Linked DNA regions of Astyanax mexicanus. The protein of the gene in region 1 purifies or fractionates together with the protein of each later gene. This does not show direct contact. Links are inferred from orthologs where the notes say so. Each region holds a gene or a part of one and is shown in the gene's direction. Other genes may lie near its edges.

Evidence for each region.
Region 2: the proteins of akap11 (region 1) and cAMP-dependent protein kinase type II-beta regulatory subunit purify together in Homo sapiens (affinity purification with mass spectrometry; 3 studies listed by BioGRID and IntAct, counting the BioPlex papers as one, with this or other methods). This does not show direct contact. The link is inferred for Astyanax mexicanus from reciprocal best matches to the Homo sapiens genes AKAP11 and PRKAR2B.

The regions. Positions count from the first base shown.
Region 1 is NC_064418.1:28,087,009-28,094,592, forward strand, and holds the start of akap11 (A-kinase anchor protein 11), read left to right. Parts: upstream 1-4,246; 5' UTR 4,247-4,350; intron 4,351-7,584. UniProt on the Homo sapiens protein: Binds to type II regulatory subunits of protein kinase A and anchors/targets them.
Region 2 is NC_064409.1:59,203,958-59,212,055, forward strand, and holds the start of cAMP-dependent protein kinase type II-beta regulatory subunit, read left to right. Parts: upstream 1-4,706; 5' UTR 4,707-5,009; coding exon 5,010-5,271; intron 5,272-8,098. UniProt on the Homo sapiens protein: Regulatory subunit of the cAMP-dependent protein kinases involved in cAMP signaling in cells. Type II regulatory chains mediate membrane association by binding to anchoring proteins, including the MAP2 kinase.

The DNA.
Region 1 (7,584 bases):
ATATTTTGGGGGTTTCCGAAATAAACACACTTACAGCACACCTAATATTTGGTTAAATGTACCAAAGCAAATTACACCCTGACCAGATGCTTTCGGTGGCCATAAACACACATCTGGAAGAATACTGGTTTGGATATTTGACCGCTCTACTTGGCAGACTTGGTAGAGTTCTGTTCAATTTGTTGGTTTTCCAGACCTAATTTTGGGCACAGTCTGCATGTTTTCAGATTTTTAAAACTTATTGTTAGTTTGCTTTATTCATTCCACATCCACCTTTGATTGATATATGTTTGTGGTCATTGTTCTGTTAGAACACCCAGTTCTGTCCAAGGAATAACATCTAGCTTATGGTTGGAGGCTAATGCTAAAGAATTATGAGGTTGTTCTCGCTTTTCATTATTCCATTCTTTTTGTACTAGGTACCAGCTCCACTGGCAGAAACATAACATCAGAGCATGATGCTACCACCATTGTGTTATTGTTTTAATCTAAACAAACTCTCCATGCAAAATCTCACCTTGTGGGGTATTCTTGATCATGAGGAAGGTGAGAGATCAACCTTAAACTACACTGGGAAACTTGTTAATGATCTCAAGGCAGCTGGGACCACAGTCACAAAGAAAACCATTGTAACACATTACGCCGTAATGGATTAAAATACTGCAGTGCCCACAAGCTCTCCCTGCTCCAGAAGGCACATGTGCAGGCCCATCTGAAGTTTGCCAATAAACACCTTATTATTATGTTTTGGGGGTGTTTCTTTGCTAAGCGCACAGGCACAGATACTTCATCGCATCAGTGGGAGAACGGACGGAGCCATGTACCATAAAATCCTAAGTGATAACCTACTTCCCTCTGCCAGGACATTAAAAATGGGTCATGGCTGGGTCTTACAGCAAGACAATGACCCAAAACATACAGCCAAGGCAACAAAGAAGTGTCTCAAAAAGAAGCACATTAAGGTCACTGAGTGGCCAGTCTCCAGACCTTAATCCCATATGGTTCACTTGTTACCTTATTCACTATTTACTATATAGCATTTACTACATATGGAACAGACTAGGGAATGACCGAACAACAAAGAGTCTTAGTTTGTGCTGGAAGTCTGACACCGCCCCACCGCATTGCATTATGGTATACATGGAAAAGTTTACCCTAATTACTAGCAACATTTCATTTCATTTTCATTTCATTTATTATTAATGACCACACAACAAGTTGGTGGAATTTACTTACGGTACAGCATAACATAACATGCTCACATCTCTGTCTGTATCAAAACAACAAACAACAGTGAATAGACAAATACATACATAAACAGTTAAACCTGGTTTAGTAAACGTACAGCGGTTGGGAAAAAACTATTTTTAAATCTGACAGATTTGGTTGACAGTGACCTGTAACGTCTTCCAGAAGGCATAAGTGTAAATAGATGATATGCAGGATGGGAGGGGTCTGAGGTGATTTTTATTGCTCGTTGTGTGATGCGTCTGTAATATAAAGTGTCAATGGATGGGAGGATGTGCCCTGTGATTTTTGATGATTTATCTACTATACTTTGCAGTTTTTTGCGTGAATGGGTATCCAAATTCCCATACCACACTGTTATGGATGAGGTGAGTATGCTTTGAATGATGGCAGTGTAAAACTGAAGAAGGATATTTTTCCTAACTCCGAATTTTTTTAGTTGTCTGAGAAAGAATAGCCTTTTATTGGCTTTTTTGTAGAGTTGGTGTGAGTGTAGTTTCCATTTAAGTGTGTTGCTGATATGGGTTCCCAGAAATTTGAATGAATCAGTGATGATAATGGGTTGCGAAAAAATAGAGATGGGTATTTTGTATATGGGTGTGCGAGAAAAATCAGAGTTTTTAATATGTTAAGCTGTAAATTGTTATTTTGGCACCAAGTGACTGCTTGGGCAACCTGTTCACGATAGTGATGTTCGTTATTGTTGGTGATAAGACCAATTATTGTTGTGTCATCTGCATATTTGAGAATAGAAACTGAACTGTGGGTAGATGTGAGGGTGTTTGTGTAGAGTGAGAATAACCACGGTGAAAGAACACAGCCCTGGGGGGCTCCTGTACTAAGGGTTAGAGTTTGGGAAGAGAGGTTACCCATCCTGACTCTCTGCGTTCTTTTTGACAAAAAATTGTGGATCCAGTAACATAGAGCAATATCAATGTCCATATCCCTAAGTTTATTGAAAAGATTGACGGGATTAATAGTATTAAAGGCCGAACTAAAGTCAATGAACAATATCCGAGCATATGTATTAGGGGATTCCAGATGTTGCATAATCCTATGAAGGGCCAGGTTGACTGTATCATCAACAGATCTATTGGCCCGGTATGCAAACTGATAACTGTCCATGGAAGGAGAAGAGAGTTCTTTCAGGTATGAGAGTACAATCTGTTCAAAAGATTTCATAACAACAGATGTGAGAGCAATTGGTCTATAATCATTAAGATGAGAGATTTTGTTAGTTTTAGGCATGGGAATAATGATAGCGTTCTTAAAGCATTTGGGAACTATACACAGTCTGAGAGAGCAGTTAAAAATGAAAGTAAAAATTGGAGCTAACATCTTATTTACTGGTAAAAAAAAATATAGCTACTAGGGTTTATACATTAATGTGGTGAGCAATGTCAAGCCTCTGGTTATTTTGTATATATGTATATATGTGTCAGGTATTGCAGCAGGGAGGACGTTAACGCAGGTACTTTATTTACAAGAAAACAAACAATAAACCAAAACTAAACTCAAAACAAGATACATGAACAGACAGGACTACTAGAGAAAACACAGAATAAACTAAAAACAGAAAAAAACAAAGAATCAGCAATCTGACTGACATAGAACATGCACAAGACCAGACAACCCAACACTGAAAACAAAGGGGCTTAAATACACATGGGGAATACAGGAAACACCTGGAAACAGGTAATGAGGGGGCGGAACTACAAATGAACACAGGTGGGAGCACTGAAGACATGGGCGGATACAAGGAGAGACACAGAGTGCTATGAGCACATGGCTGGGACAACAAACAAAGGAGGGGAACAAAAACATGGAGGCTGACAAGAGACAGGACAAGGATGTGATAATATGGGTAAATAAGTCATTTTTTTATTTTGTAGATTTGAAAGTGGCGCAGCGGAAGCGTGCTGGGCCTATAACCCAGAGGTCGATGGATCGAAACCATCCTCTGCTAAGTCCAGTTTTAATTGCATGCAGCGTGGGAAGCAATTTGAATCTTTTTGAAACAAGTATCTATTGCTGACACAGTTTAGGTTGAGCCAAAGCACAAGGCAAGCCTCCTAAGCTAGGGATTGTGAGATCGGGTCCCATTTGGGGTGTAAACCCAAAGGTCGATGGATTGAAACCATCCTCTGCTAACTCCAGTTTTAATTGCATGCTGTCATTTTAAAATGGCAATGGTATTAAAACAAATCTAATATTTAAGTACTTGTTTACTTGTGCAAATAAAAGCCAGTTTTAAGATGTTCTTTAAATTATGTGGAAATTTGATGATCAATCGAAACAAAGACAGGACAAAACCTGAACAAATACTTTTTATACTGACATCCATAGAAAGATTTTTATTAATAGCTAAAATTAATCAATAAACATTAATTTTGTGTTAACGTGCCTAAGGTACAGAGCCAGTAAGGTGACATTGTGTACAAAACAAATTGCCACGAAATAATTAAGTTGTGGGGACAACTGGGGAAATTAATGAATTAAAAAAAGTTAAAGGATTTTAAGTGCTCCTCATAGTGGGGAAAATAGAATTATTAAACAAGCTTATTAAAGCGTTGGAACAAGATGATTAAGTTGAAGGGACGACTTATTAATGCGCTGCAACTAGATAATAGAGTCATAGGGACGACCTATTAAAGCGTGGGAATTAGGTAATTGAGTCATGGGGGCAACTTATATGGCGAGGACTTTATTATTTTGTTCCCACACCTAATATTGTTAAAATGACAATATTTGTATTTGGAATTTGGAAGAAATGTTGTCTGTAGTTTATAGAATAAAACAGCAATATTCATTTTAATCAAACATATACCTATAAATAGCAAAATCAGAGAAACTGATTCAGAAACTGAATTGATCTCTTATTTTTTTCCAGGACTGTATAAACAGTGATGTGAAACGCAATAAACTGAGTGTAAAATCAGAGAAAATACAGAGATCAGCTCTACAGCCTCCTCCATCGATGACTCTGGGCTCGGCGCTGTCAGATCCTCCGCTCGGTGCTCGGCTGCTCCGGCCTGTGCGGCTTGTTTTCATGAGCAGCAGGGCTACAGCTAACGGCTCACTGCGGGGGTCCGACAACTAAAGGTGAGAGGGGCGGTTAAGGTGGTGGAGGTGTGAGCGGACAGTTACTGTGATACAGCGCGTTTAAACAGTGTGTTTAGTGTCTTGTGTGTTTACACAGTGTGTGTGAGTGAGAGCGGCTGTCTCGGTGTTGTTGTTATGTGTGAGGCGCTGCGCTGCTCAGAGCTCGGGGTTAGCTGCAGGTTTAGGAATAATCTGCGTCGAAATCACATCTGTCTCAGCTAACCCGCCCCGCGCGCCGCACGGCCCTGTATCAGACAGGGTTTCAGAGTGTGTTCTGAGGAGTTCAGAGAGAGGATCCTTTCAAAAAGACTGAATTCTGCCCGGTAATAAAAAACAGCGCAGCTGCTAACCAGGCTAACAGCCCCGCTGCTCTCACTGTCAGGCCTGAGCTCTGAGCGAACAAAACAACCAGCAGCAGGCTCAGTTTAGTAACACTTTAACCCAGACATGATCATATCATCCCCTTATTTATATCAGAACAGCAGCAAGAGGGTTTAATTTAGGTCACGTTAGCTCTTTAGCATGTTGTGGGAGAGCTGTCAGTTCTGTGCAGAGGCCTGTAGCCCCACAGCAGTGGGAGGACAGAGGGCCCAGCAGGGTTTATGGTTAATATCGTGGATTAAAGCGCATAAAAAAATGAAGAATTTATATGATTTGATAAATAAGGGACAGGGGTTGCCTCCTTATAGAGACCCTTTATAGGAATAATGAAAAAGGAAATGGTAAATAAATGTGAAATTGGAATCTATGGAGCCCCTATTGGATGAAGGTGGAAAAATAATGTTTAGAAACAAAAACGTTCCCTTGATTTATCACACGGTTCTTTTTATTTATTACACCATTCCCCTGATTTATCACACCGTTCCCTTGATTTATCACACCGTTCCCTTGATTATTCACCGTTCCTTTGATTTATCACACCGTTCCTTTGATTTATCACACCGTTCCCTTGATTTATCACACCGTTCCCTTAATTTATCACACTGTTCCCTTGATTTATCACTCCATACTTTGATTTATTGCACCATTTTCTTAATTTATTACTCAGTTACCTGATTTATTGCACCATTTCCTTGATATATTATACAGTTCCCTGATTTAATGCACCGTTCCCCTGAGTTATCACACTGTTCCCTTTATTTATCACACCATTTTCCTGATTAATCACACTGTTTCTCTGATTTATCGCACCGTTCCCTTGATTTACCACACCATTCCCCTGATTAATCACACTGTTTCCCTGATTTACTGCACCGTTACCTGATTTATCACATCGTTTACTTGATTAATTACACCATTCCCTTGATTCATCACACCGCTCCCCAGATTACACCGTACACCATTGATTCTGGTTGATTGTGTGTTTCTTTCTTTTTGGTTAGTGGAATAACAGGTTTAGAAACATCAGGCTTATATTTAAGCATCAGTCCTCTTTATGCTTGGGCCGCATTTCCTCATTGGCATTATTACAATTAGCGAGCTGTCACTCAACCCCCTCCTTTCTGAAGGAGAGTGTGTTCTTAGTGAACTTCAAGTGCTAAAATAAAGTTTCCCCTATCCTTTTATCTGTTTTTGTGGTTTTGCTTCTCATTTTGCTGCGTATCTTTACTCACCCACACACATTTACTTCGAAAGGCATTGGTGTGACCCATTTTAGGACCAAAGTTCTTATGAAATTCTTACCACCGCAGTGTTCACAGTGCAAAGTGCATGTAGCACAACTCTTTAACTCTTTACCTGATTAACAAGTGGTGCAATAGTTTTGCCAATTAATTTTATTTAAAACTGTCATTACTGTAATTACTGTCATATATTTTTATACATGATATGTAAAACATTTATATAAATATGGTCAAATTTGTGTGTGTCTCTGTTTATGTATGTATTTATCCAGCATGTGTTACCATGTTTGTTTAATCAGGACTTAATTAAAATAAGATTTTTGGGGGTTTTCAGAGCATAGTTGTTGAAAAAGTACATAATCTATATTATTGATTTTTTTTTTTTCTTTTCAAAACTACCTGAAGTGGAGGTGTCTGACAGCGTGCCTCATTGTTTTATTGTCTGTTGACAGCAATGTGTTCATATTTGGACTGTTTGCTTTTCAGGAAAAAAGTCTGCCACCTGAAGCAGATGTTCCAATTATATAATTATGTATAATAAGAGCTCAGGCCTTATTATAAAACTATTTGTAATAGACTGATAACATAACAGAAAATATAGCCGCAAGCGGCAATCATCGGGTTCAAGCACCAACTTGCACAATGGTGCCTACTGGAGCATTGAATGGTGATGTGTAAGAAGGTCTAATATGATTGGAGATGCCCTGTCACATTTAGAAATTATCAAGTTTTTCACCTGTTATTAATGTTGAGCAGAGGCCTTTCAACCTGATCAGTGCTTAAATTCACATGTAAATCTAGTGAACTTTGTAGGATATTCATTAAGTGAGTTAGAACTAGTCAAAAGGTGTCTACATGTTATTGGTATTGATCAGGTGGCTTCAACCAGAATGTTCACAAAGTGGTATTCAGATTGACCTTTGAACCTTTGCAGAACAAGCTGAAATGTTTGACCAAACAAGTTTAAATTAACACAAAGGAGTGAATGTTCTGATATGACGTAATTACGAAGTTATTATAAATCTAGTTCTGAATTAAATGGCGCTTCATCAAGCACCAACTAGCACAACAGATTGCTTGATGCCTGGAGAGTATTGTATGTGAAATTTTCACAAATGTTTTTAATGAACATTTACCTAGAGACTCTACAGTGTGCAGCAAGACTGAAATGGAGGTGATAGGCCAAATATCCAGAGAGTAGTTTCAATATAGCTATTTTCAAACAATTAGCAATTATGAATGAACAAAGCACTTTTTAAACATAGTTGTATTGAGAAATTTGTCAGAGCCACTGTACTAAATATGGCAAAAACAATTAGATGTCAAAATAGTACAGCATGATTGACATATACTCGTTTTTTTGGAACAGCGCCCCCCAGTGGGCGGATTGTTTCAGCACTTTGCAGGTCACTACAGTGTCTCCACCTGAACATAACTGCCAAATATCATCCAGATTGGGCAACATTCAGCCTGCCAAAATGTCTGCTGAATGCTGATTGGCTGATGGTGTTCAGCCATGTTGATTGATTAAGTTGCCCTTTGAACATCCTTTAGAGGCTGTATGATAGATTCTGCATGCAAAGTTTCAACTTGCTAGGTTGCACGGTTGCTG
Region 2 (8,098 bases), on another chromosome or scaffold:
AGCTTTGCAGAATCTGAATCAGAGCAGTCACAGTTGATCTTTTTGTCATGAAACCATGCTGGGAAGAGGCAATTTTAGAAGCTGTGTCCTCCAAAAGGACATCTCTCAGAATTCCTTCATATACTTTGCCAACACAGCTGACTAAGGATATCTGACGATAGTCAACTGGAAAGCTAGGCCTAGCTTTTTTAGGCACAGCTTTGACCAGTGCTTCTTTCCATGGCTTAGGAAATGTATTGTGTTGGATACATGCATTGAATATATCACACAGCACCGGTGCCAATTCTTCATGAAAGGACTTTAAAACCCAAGAGGGTATACCGTCAGGTCCAGCTGCCTTTCCCCCTTTGACTCTACGGAGTCTACCTTTGACCTGACCAATACTCAGAAAGGGTATGGAGCCATTCAAGAGTTTGTTGGAAATATCCTCCTCAGAGGGAGTAGTATGAGCCACTTGGTCCCATACTGACGTGAAGTGGTTGACCAAAATATCACATTCCTGCTGCAAAGACTCGGGATCTTGTGATATTATAGCCTGCTTAGAATTCTCTTTTCCCATTAGTGCTGAAATAGATTTGAACCACTGTTTAGAACTGGAAAACCGCAGTTCCTCCACCTCTTTCTTGTAGTACTCCTGCTTTGCTGTCTTGATCTTTTTTACGATGACTGATTGTAGATTTCTATAAGCAGTTTTATTTCCAGAGCAAAACTCAAACTGTCTCTTTTTTATCAGATGTTTAATTTGCACGGTCATCCACGGCTTGTCTTTATTAGTAATCGCCACCTTCTTTAGTGGGACAGCTGTATCCAGAATAGAGGAAATCATGGAGGAAAAAGCTTTAACCTTTACCTCTGGGTCTGAGGCCTCAAAAATGGGAGAGAAATCAGTAGTGTTCATGAGAAGGCCCAACTGCCTCAATGCCTCAGGAGTACGTTTACGGCATATGATGGACTGCGTGGGCTGAGAGGGCCATTCACCAGCATTCCACAAGATGGTTTGATGGTCAGAAGTGCCAACTGGGGGCAAGTGCACTGGTAGATCATACATGGAAGGAATGTTGGTAAAAATTGCATCAAGCTGGCTGGCCTTCCTTGTTGCCCCAGCCACCACTTGCTTCAATCCATGTCTGACACAGATGGTTTCGGACCTATACCTGTTAGTGTCCCCAAGAATGACAACTGCAGCATTCTGATATTGGCATTCAATATTCCCAAGACAACGATCAAGATATGATGTAATCAACGAATCTGGTTTTGCAGATGTTGAAGAGTGAGGTGGAATATATAACACTGCAGCAATGATGCAATTTAGCCCTCGAGGTAGACGCCTAGGTCGCATCCAGACCCATAAGGCTTCAAACTCCTCTTCCTCCAAGTGAGACAATCTCTTCTGTAAGATGTCACTCCTAGCATACAGGGCTACCCCCCCTCCCCTACTGCTCTCCCTATCCCGCCGATGTAAAGTATATCCAGGCAAAGTGATAATAGAGTCTGGAATGTCAGGATTCAACCAAGTTTCAGATACAGCAACAACAGCTGAATTGTTGTTTACTGATACCGTATACAACTCGTCACATTTGTGGCGCAGTGAGCGCACATTAGATAGAAGAAATCCAGGCAAAGATGGCTTTGGGTTACTATGAGCCATTTTTATGTGGACTAAGTTCCTAGGGTGAGAGAATCCAGTAGATGTAACCAATTTTTGACAAGTCAGCTCCGGCTTGGTGCCAATTACGGTTACACAGTCGTTTGGACGGTTCCCCACAATTGACTTTATTGGTCGAATAACATTCTTTCCAGCTTTCTTACCCCTAGGGCGAGATCTTAGTCTCAGTATTCCCAGATACTTAAGTATAGACTTAACATCCGAGGGCAAGGGTGTAGCAGATTTCCTTAAGCTTTTTAGAAAATAATTTTCAGTGCTATAATCAAACTGAGCCATTGTCCCAGAAACAGTGTTAAAAAAACAGTGTAAAGATCAGCAATGGTCTCCATGCAGAAGTAGGCCTTGTTTCCTAGAATCCATCCAAAATCTCCAAAAATAGATTACATCCAGGCATATTGGCATTCAAATTCCATACCCAGGCCTGCAAGGTTTTGACTTAATTGAGTATTTAAAAAAAACAAATTGAATTAAAACCAATATAAAATTCAACAATAGTCACCATGCAGCAGTAGGCCTTACTTCCTAGAATCCTTCCAAAATCTCCAAAAATAGATTACATCCAGACAAATAGGCCTTCAGTTTCCATACCCAGGCCTACACGTTTGACTTGATTATGTTAATAAAAACAAATTGTGATTAAAATCAGTATAAAATTCCAGCAATAGCCACCATCCAGATCCACCGTGAAGACCAAGTTTCCTAGAATCCATCCAACATCTTAGAAGGTGTATAACAGTCATTTTGCAGAATTTGTGCACCCTTTGTTCAATTTTAAATCTATTAAATAAATAAATAGATATACAATCTAAAAGAGTGCATTTATGGCAAAAAAGACATGAAATCTTAACTTTTTTTAATATCTAGAAAAGGATTTTTTATTTGGCTGTATTAAAAGAACGAAATATGTAGGAATGTCCACAACATTTCAGATTCTGATAATCTAATTGTAGTGTGTAAGTGGTTCACATGTGTCTTAAAATGTAAGGGATACTGAACCTTCGTTGGGCTGGTGGGACGACTTTATGCGGACAGAGGAAAATATCCCTTATTTTTAAATCTAAAACTTGACAGGTATGTATATAGTCTACATTTCTCTAGTTCAGGATCTAAACTGCTATTTAGGTCATTTTATCTAGACACTAAACTGCTGTATAGTCCATAACCCTCCAGGCTGCAATCTACATATTCATTTCAGACCATGGCTGTATAGTCCATATTCCTCCAGGATCTAAACTGTATATAGCACATATTCCTTCAGGTCCTAAACAACTATGTAACCCATAGTTCTACAGGGTATAAGCCACTATATGGTTTACATTCATCCAGGATCTAAACTGCTATATGTACAATTCATATTCCTTTCAGGATCTAAACTGCTATATAGTCCATATTCTCACTGTCTCTAAATGATTGTATAACCCATATCCATACGCCCTAAATTGCTGTAAAGTACATTCTACTTCAGGATCTAAACTGTTGTATAGTGCACATTCCTCTAGGATATAAAGTACTATACAGTCATATTTGTCCACATTACACATCTTTCCATGATCCAAACTGCTATACAGTCAATATTCCAGCCTAATACTTGTATATAGTTAATGCCCCTGCTGGTTGTTTACAGCTTTATTGTTCACATTCCACCATACACTAAACTGCTATATAGTCCATATTTCACCAGACACTAAACTGCTATATAGTCCATATTTCACCAGACACTAAACTGCTATATAGTCCATATTTCACCAGACACTAAACTGCTATATAGTCCATATTCCACCAGACTCTTAACTGCTATATAGTCCATAGTCCACCAGACTCTAAACTGATATATAGTCCATATTCCACCAGACTCTAAACTGCTATATAGTCTATATTGAACTCGAATTCAAACTGCTATATAGTCCATATTCCACCAGACACTACACTACTATATAGTCAATATTCCTCCAGGTTCTGAACTGCTATGAAGTCCATATTCCACCAGACTTTAAACTGCTATTTAGTCCATGTGTCACCAGACACTAAACTGCTATATAGTCCATATTGCACCAGACGATAAACTGCTATATAGCCCATATTTCTCCAGGTTATAAAGTGCAATATAGTCCATATCCCACAGACCTTAAACTGCTATATAGTCCATATTTCACCAGACTCTAAACTGCTATATAGTCCATATTTCACCAGATTCTAAACTGCTATATAGTCTATATTGGACCAGACTCTAAACTGCTATTTAGTCCATATTGGACATAAACTTCAAACTGCTATAGAGTTCATATTCCTCCAGAATCTAAACTGCTATATAGTCCATATTCCTCCAGACTCTAAACTGCTATATAGTCCATATTCCTCCAGACTTTAAACTGATATATACTCCATATTCCACAAGGCTTTAAACTGTGTCCCTATTACTCCTGGTGCCAAACTGTTATATATACAGTCCATATTTCTATACTTCTTATGAAATACTATATAGTCCATATTCCTCCAGACACTGAACTGCTGTATAGTACATTTTACTTCAGGCCATGAATGGCCGTGTAGTGCACATTCCTCCAGGCCCTAAAATGCTGCATATTCTCTATAGGTGAGACTTTAATGCACAGGCCAGACTGCTTTGTATAAGGTGGTGCATGTACAGCAGCAGCAGCAGCAGCAGCAGCAACAGCTCCAGTCTTTGTAGCAGATCATAATTAAAGGAACTCGTAGGTTTTGAGAGCTGAATTGGATTCACGGTAGTTGCCATACAGAGCTCCTCTTCCTCTGCTTCTGCTGCATACGCAAGCCACGGATGGTGGTTGCCATGGTTTCTCAGGTCACATGCGTGGGTTTGCTGTGCGTTATTCTCTTTTTTCACACACCCGTTTTGGAGAAGGCCACGCCCACTGTGCTACTGCTGTGCTACGATTGGTTGGGGACTCATGCTGGCGCTCAATCGCGGTGGGCAAGGGGCTCGCGAGGGCGGGGGTATAAGCTAATAGCCAGTCGGTGCAGAGGGGGCGGGGCTTGTGGGGAAGCGGGCGGAAAGCGAAATTAAACAATTAAATAAATAAACGGCGCGTTTCCTGTAGCCAGCAGCAAAAAGATGCGAGCTGTTGAATTTTCTGCCATTTTCGTGCCTCAAAATTAGGGACGCTGTCAGTACGGATGGAAGTCTCTGCCATGGAGTTGTGAGAGATCCTCTGCTCGTATGTGTGTGTTTGCTGGTTTTTTTGGCTGAGTTTCCAGTTCATCCAGCGCAGGTCACCGTTCATTTCAGCTGACGTTGCCAAGACGGTTGTGATCCCCGGTACTACTGCAGTTTTGCACCGCTTTCTCCGGAGCCCTGGTATCAGGAATGAGTATAGAAATCCCCGAGGGGTTGACGGAGCTTTTGCAGAGCTTTACCGTGGAGGTGCTGAGGAATCAACCCCGGGATCTGTTGGAGTTCGCCCTGCAGTATTTCACCCAGCTGAAGGAGAACGAGAGCAGGGGGGGCGCGTTTGGCAATGAGCAAAACTCGGCCGTGCGAGCAGGGAAAGCCGTCAACTTCATCGAGGAGGCCATGCAGATCGACTCGGAGAACGAAGAGGATGAGGATGACGATGAGGAATTCGTAGGTAACAGATTTGGGCTCATTGAAATATATTCATTTTTGGTTACCATTCATTCACACATGGGGGAATACTATAGTCTGCTATAGATCCAGCTAGGTAGTTAGCTAGCAGCTACAATATCCATAGAAGAGGGCTGCACAATATATCGTTTCAGCATCAGCATCGCATCAATGTGCGCATGCGCGGTAGTCACATCTCAGGACGTGCAATGTCACATAAGGCAAATTAGCTAAACCATACAGAACATGCACACAAGTTAATTGATAGCTACAAAAGTAAAGTGTGTATGTTATATGATATAGAGCTATCTTACTATGTTGGATATTTTATACTAGCTTTTTAACAGAGGCAAATACCATTCATTTTTACTGTAATTTTCAATAAACAGAGAGCATTAGCTAGTATTCATTCAATCATATCATAAAACGTTATAACTGCATTACTCATGACTTATGGAGAAATATGATTAAAATCTTAAAAAAATGAAATATCAGAGTATCACAATATATCATACTAGCTTTTCCCAGAGGCAGATTATATATTATATATTATAAAATGTATTTCACTGCAATCTTCAATATACCAGAGCGTTAGCTAGTATTTATTCAGTCATATCATGAGATCAGTCAGTACAACATATCAGTTAAATTTTCCGACCGTGTCTAGCTAAATTTGAAAATAGAAAATTGGGTATAAAACTTAATTGTTGCTTAATAGTTTTTCCATTCAGTATAGTGAAGACAAAATGTGTTTTTATCCACTTTTTTAAATTATCTCGTTTTAAATTTCAGCCTTTCGCAAACAGAACTTTGAGAAAAATGAAAAGTTGAATCTTCTCTCGTTTTCAGATTTGTCCAGTTTTGTATCTTACAACACAAATCTGATGGTATAATCCAACTTGCAAAATGCAAAAACTGAAAAATCAGAAAAAAAAAGAAAACTAAAATTGGAAAAATGGATGAAAACTTATTTCTTGTATACTGCACTACATAAAAACATTTAGTTTTTTACATCAAAATCTCTATTTTTGCATTTAGCCTAAAACAGCCAGAAAACGTGACCTGTATCACTCAGTGTGACTTATAGAGAAATATGATGAAAATTCGTGTATAAATATTAGATTATTACAATATCTAAAATATTTACAAGCTACATCAGGCAACAAAATATCAGAATGTCATTCATTCCCATTATCATTCATACAAACTCAATATCTAACACACTGACACGTGATTTGTAGCTAGCTAATGCTAGCTAGTTGGTCAGCTAGGCTAGCTAACTTAGCTAAATGTTGGCTCATTATAGACACAGGGTGATGCTCTAGCTTGCTTGCTAGCTAGCTAATTGTTAGCTATCTAACCTAAAGGTGTAGCTAACGTTAATAATGCAGCCATGCAGGATGGCACTGAATCACACAGGCTAGACTGCACAAATGGCCTCCGTCAGGCCTCATGGTGGGCGGCTGCTGATTTAATAATGATAGCTCGCTGTATGTCGACGCCGGTGAAAAGCACAGAGTGCACCTGGTTCCCGGTTTGGTGGTCGAGGGCGTAAAAAATATGATGAGTGGCAAATGCAGCGCTCACCGTGTTCACTCTGCAGAGGTGGTGGTGGTGGTGGTGGGGGAGGGGATGGAGGGAGGGAGGGATGGAGGGAGGGAGGGAGGGAGGGGACAGAAGAGAGAGAGAGAGACAGAGACAGAGGAGGGGGTGAAGGCTACTACAGGCAGCAGCAGCAGCAGCATCTCCTCTTCTAACACGCTGAACGATGCTGATCTCGCCCTGCATCTATTCTGCCTCAAAAGAGCTTTGGCCTTTAACGAATAAAGAGCCCACATTCATGAATCATGAGTTGAGGCCTTTTTGAGTGAATGAGCTTGCTAAAAGGCACCCAGCTCCTCCTGGCCTGCTCCTCTTTTTAGCCCAGCCCAGCCTCGTCCTGTGCTCATCCTGCTTTCCTTTTTCATTAGGAAACATTTGGCAGAACCTTAGACGCGTCCTTAGGCCTGTCACGATTAACTCATTATTTTTTGCGGAGAATATACAATAGCTATCAGTAGGGTTGTAAGAAAACCTCAATATCGCAGCATATCACAGTTTGTTGATGTAAAAATTGGTGGCAGACAGTGGTTCATTTCGTGTTGTGTTTAAGTCCCAACATTTTTTCCCTAAAATTTGATAAAAAGATCACAATATATCACCTTTGTATCATGGTGCATATCATATTCTTGCCAATACACAGCCTAACTTTTAATTAATAATAGTTTGGTAAATGCATGCTATTTGGGAATTTGTATTGCTTGCAAAAAAAAGTTCACAGTATATTTTAAATGCTGCTTATTTTAGCCAGTGCAACTAGCTAAACATAACTAATCTCCATTCTGACATGAAAAAAAACTACAAGTAAGCACAATGGAGGCAATTTGGAGGTCAGCAAAAACGCTTGAGGTAATTTACATACTTTATCATAACTATCATAACAGGCCTAACACTCCACAAGCAGCTCAAATATAGAATCCTTGCTAAATCATGTGATTCATGTAGCGTAGTTCTTCATGTTAGTAAACTGCTAGTAGAGAAGATTGCCAGATGCTGGTTTAGTCTCTTCAGGACAAAGGTAGCTAGCTGAATAGCATGGTGGCTAAACCTCCTCATGCAATTTTCATGAGGGTACATTGTGTGAGAACAAGGTGCTTTTGATTGCCAGGGAGGATGCTTATTATTATTTCTCTAAATTTGAGTGGCAATAAAAGCAAGACCAACTTCAAAGCTTTCTGAATCCAGGTTAAAATGTGAATATTACAAAATATATTCCAGACTAAATAAAACAG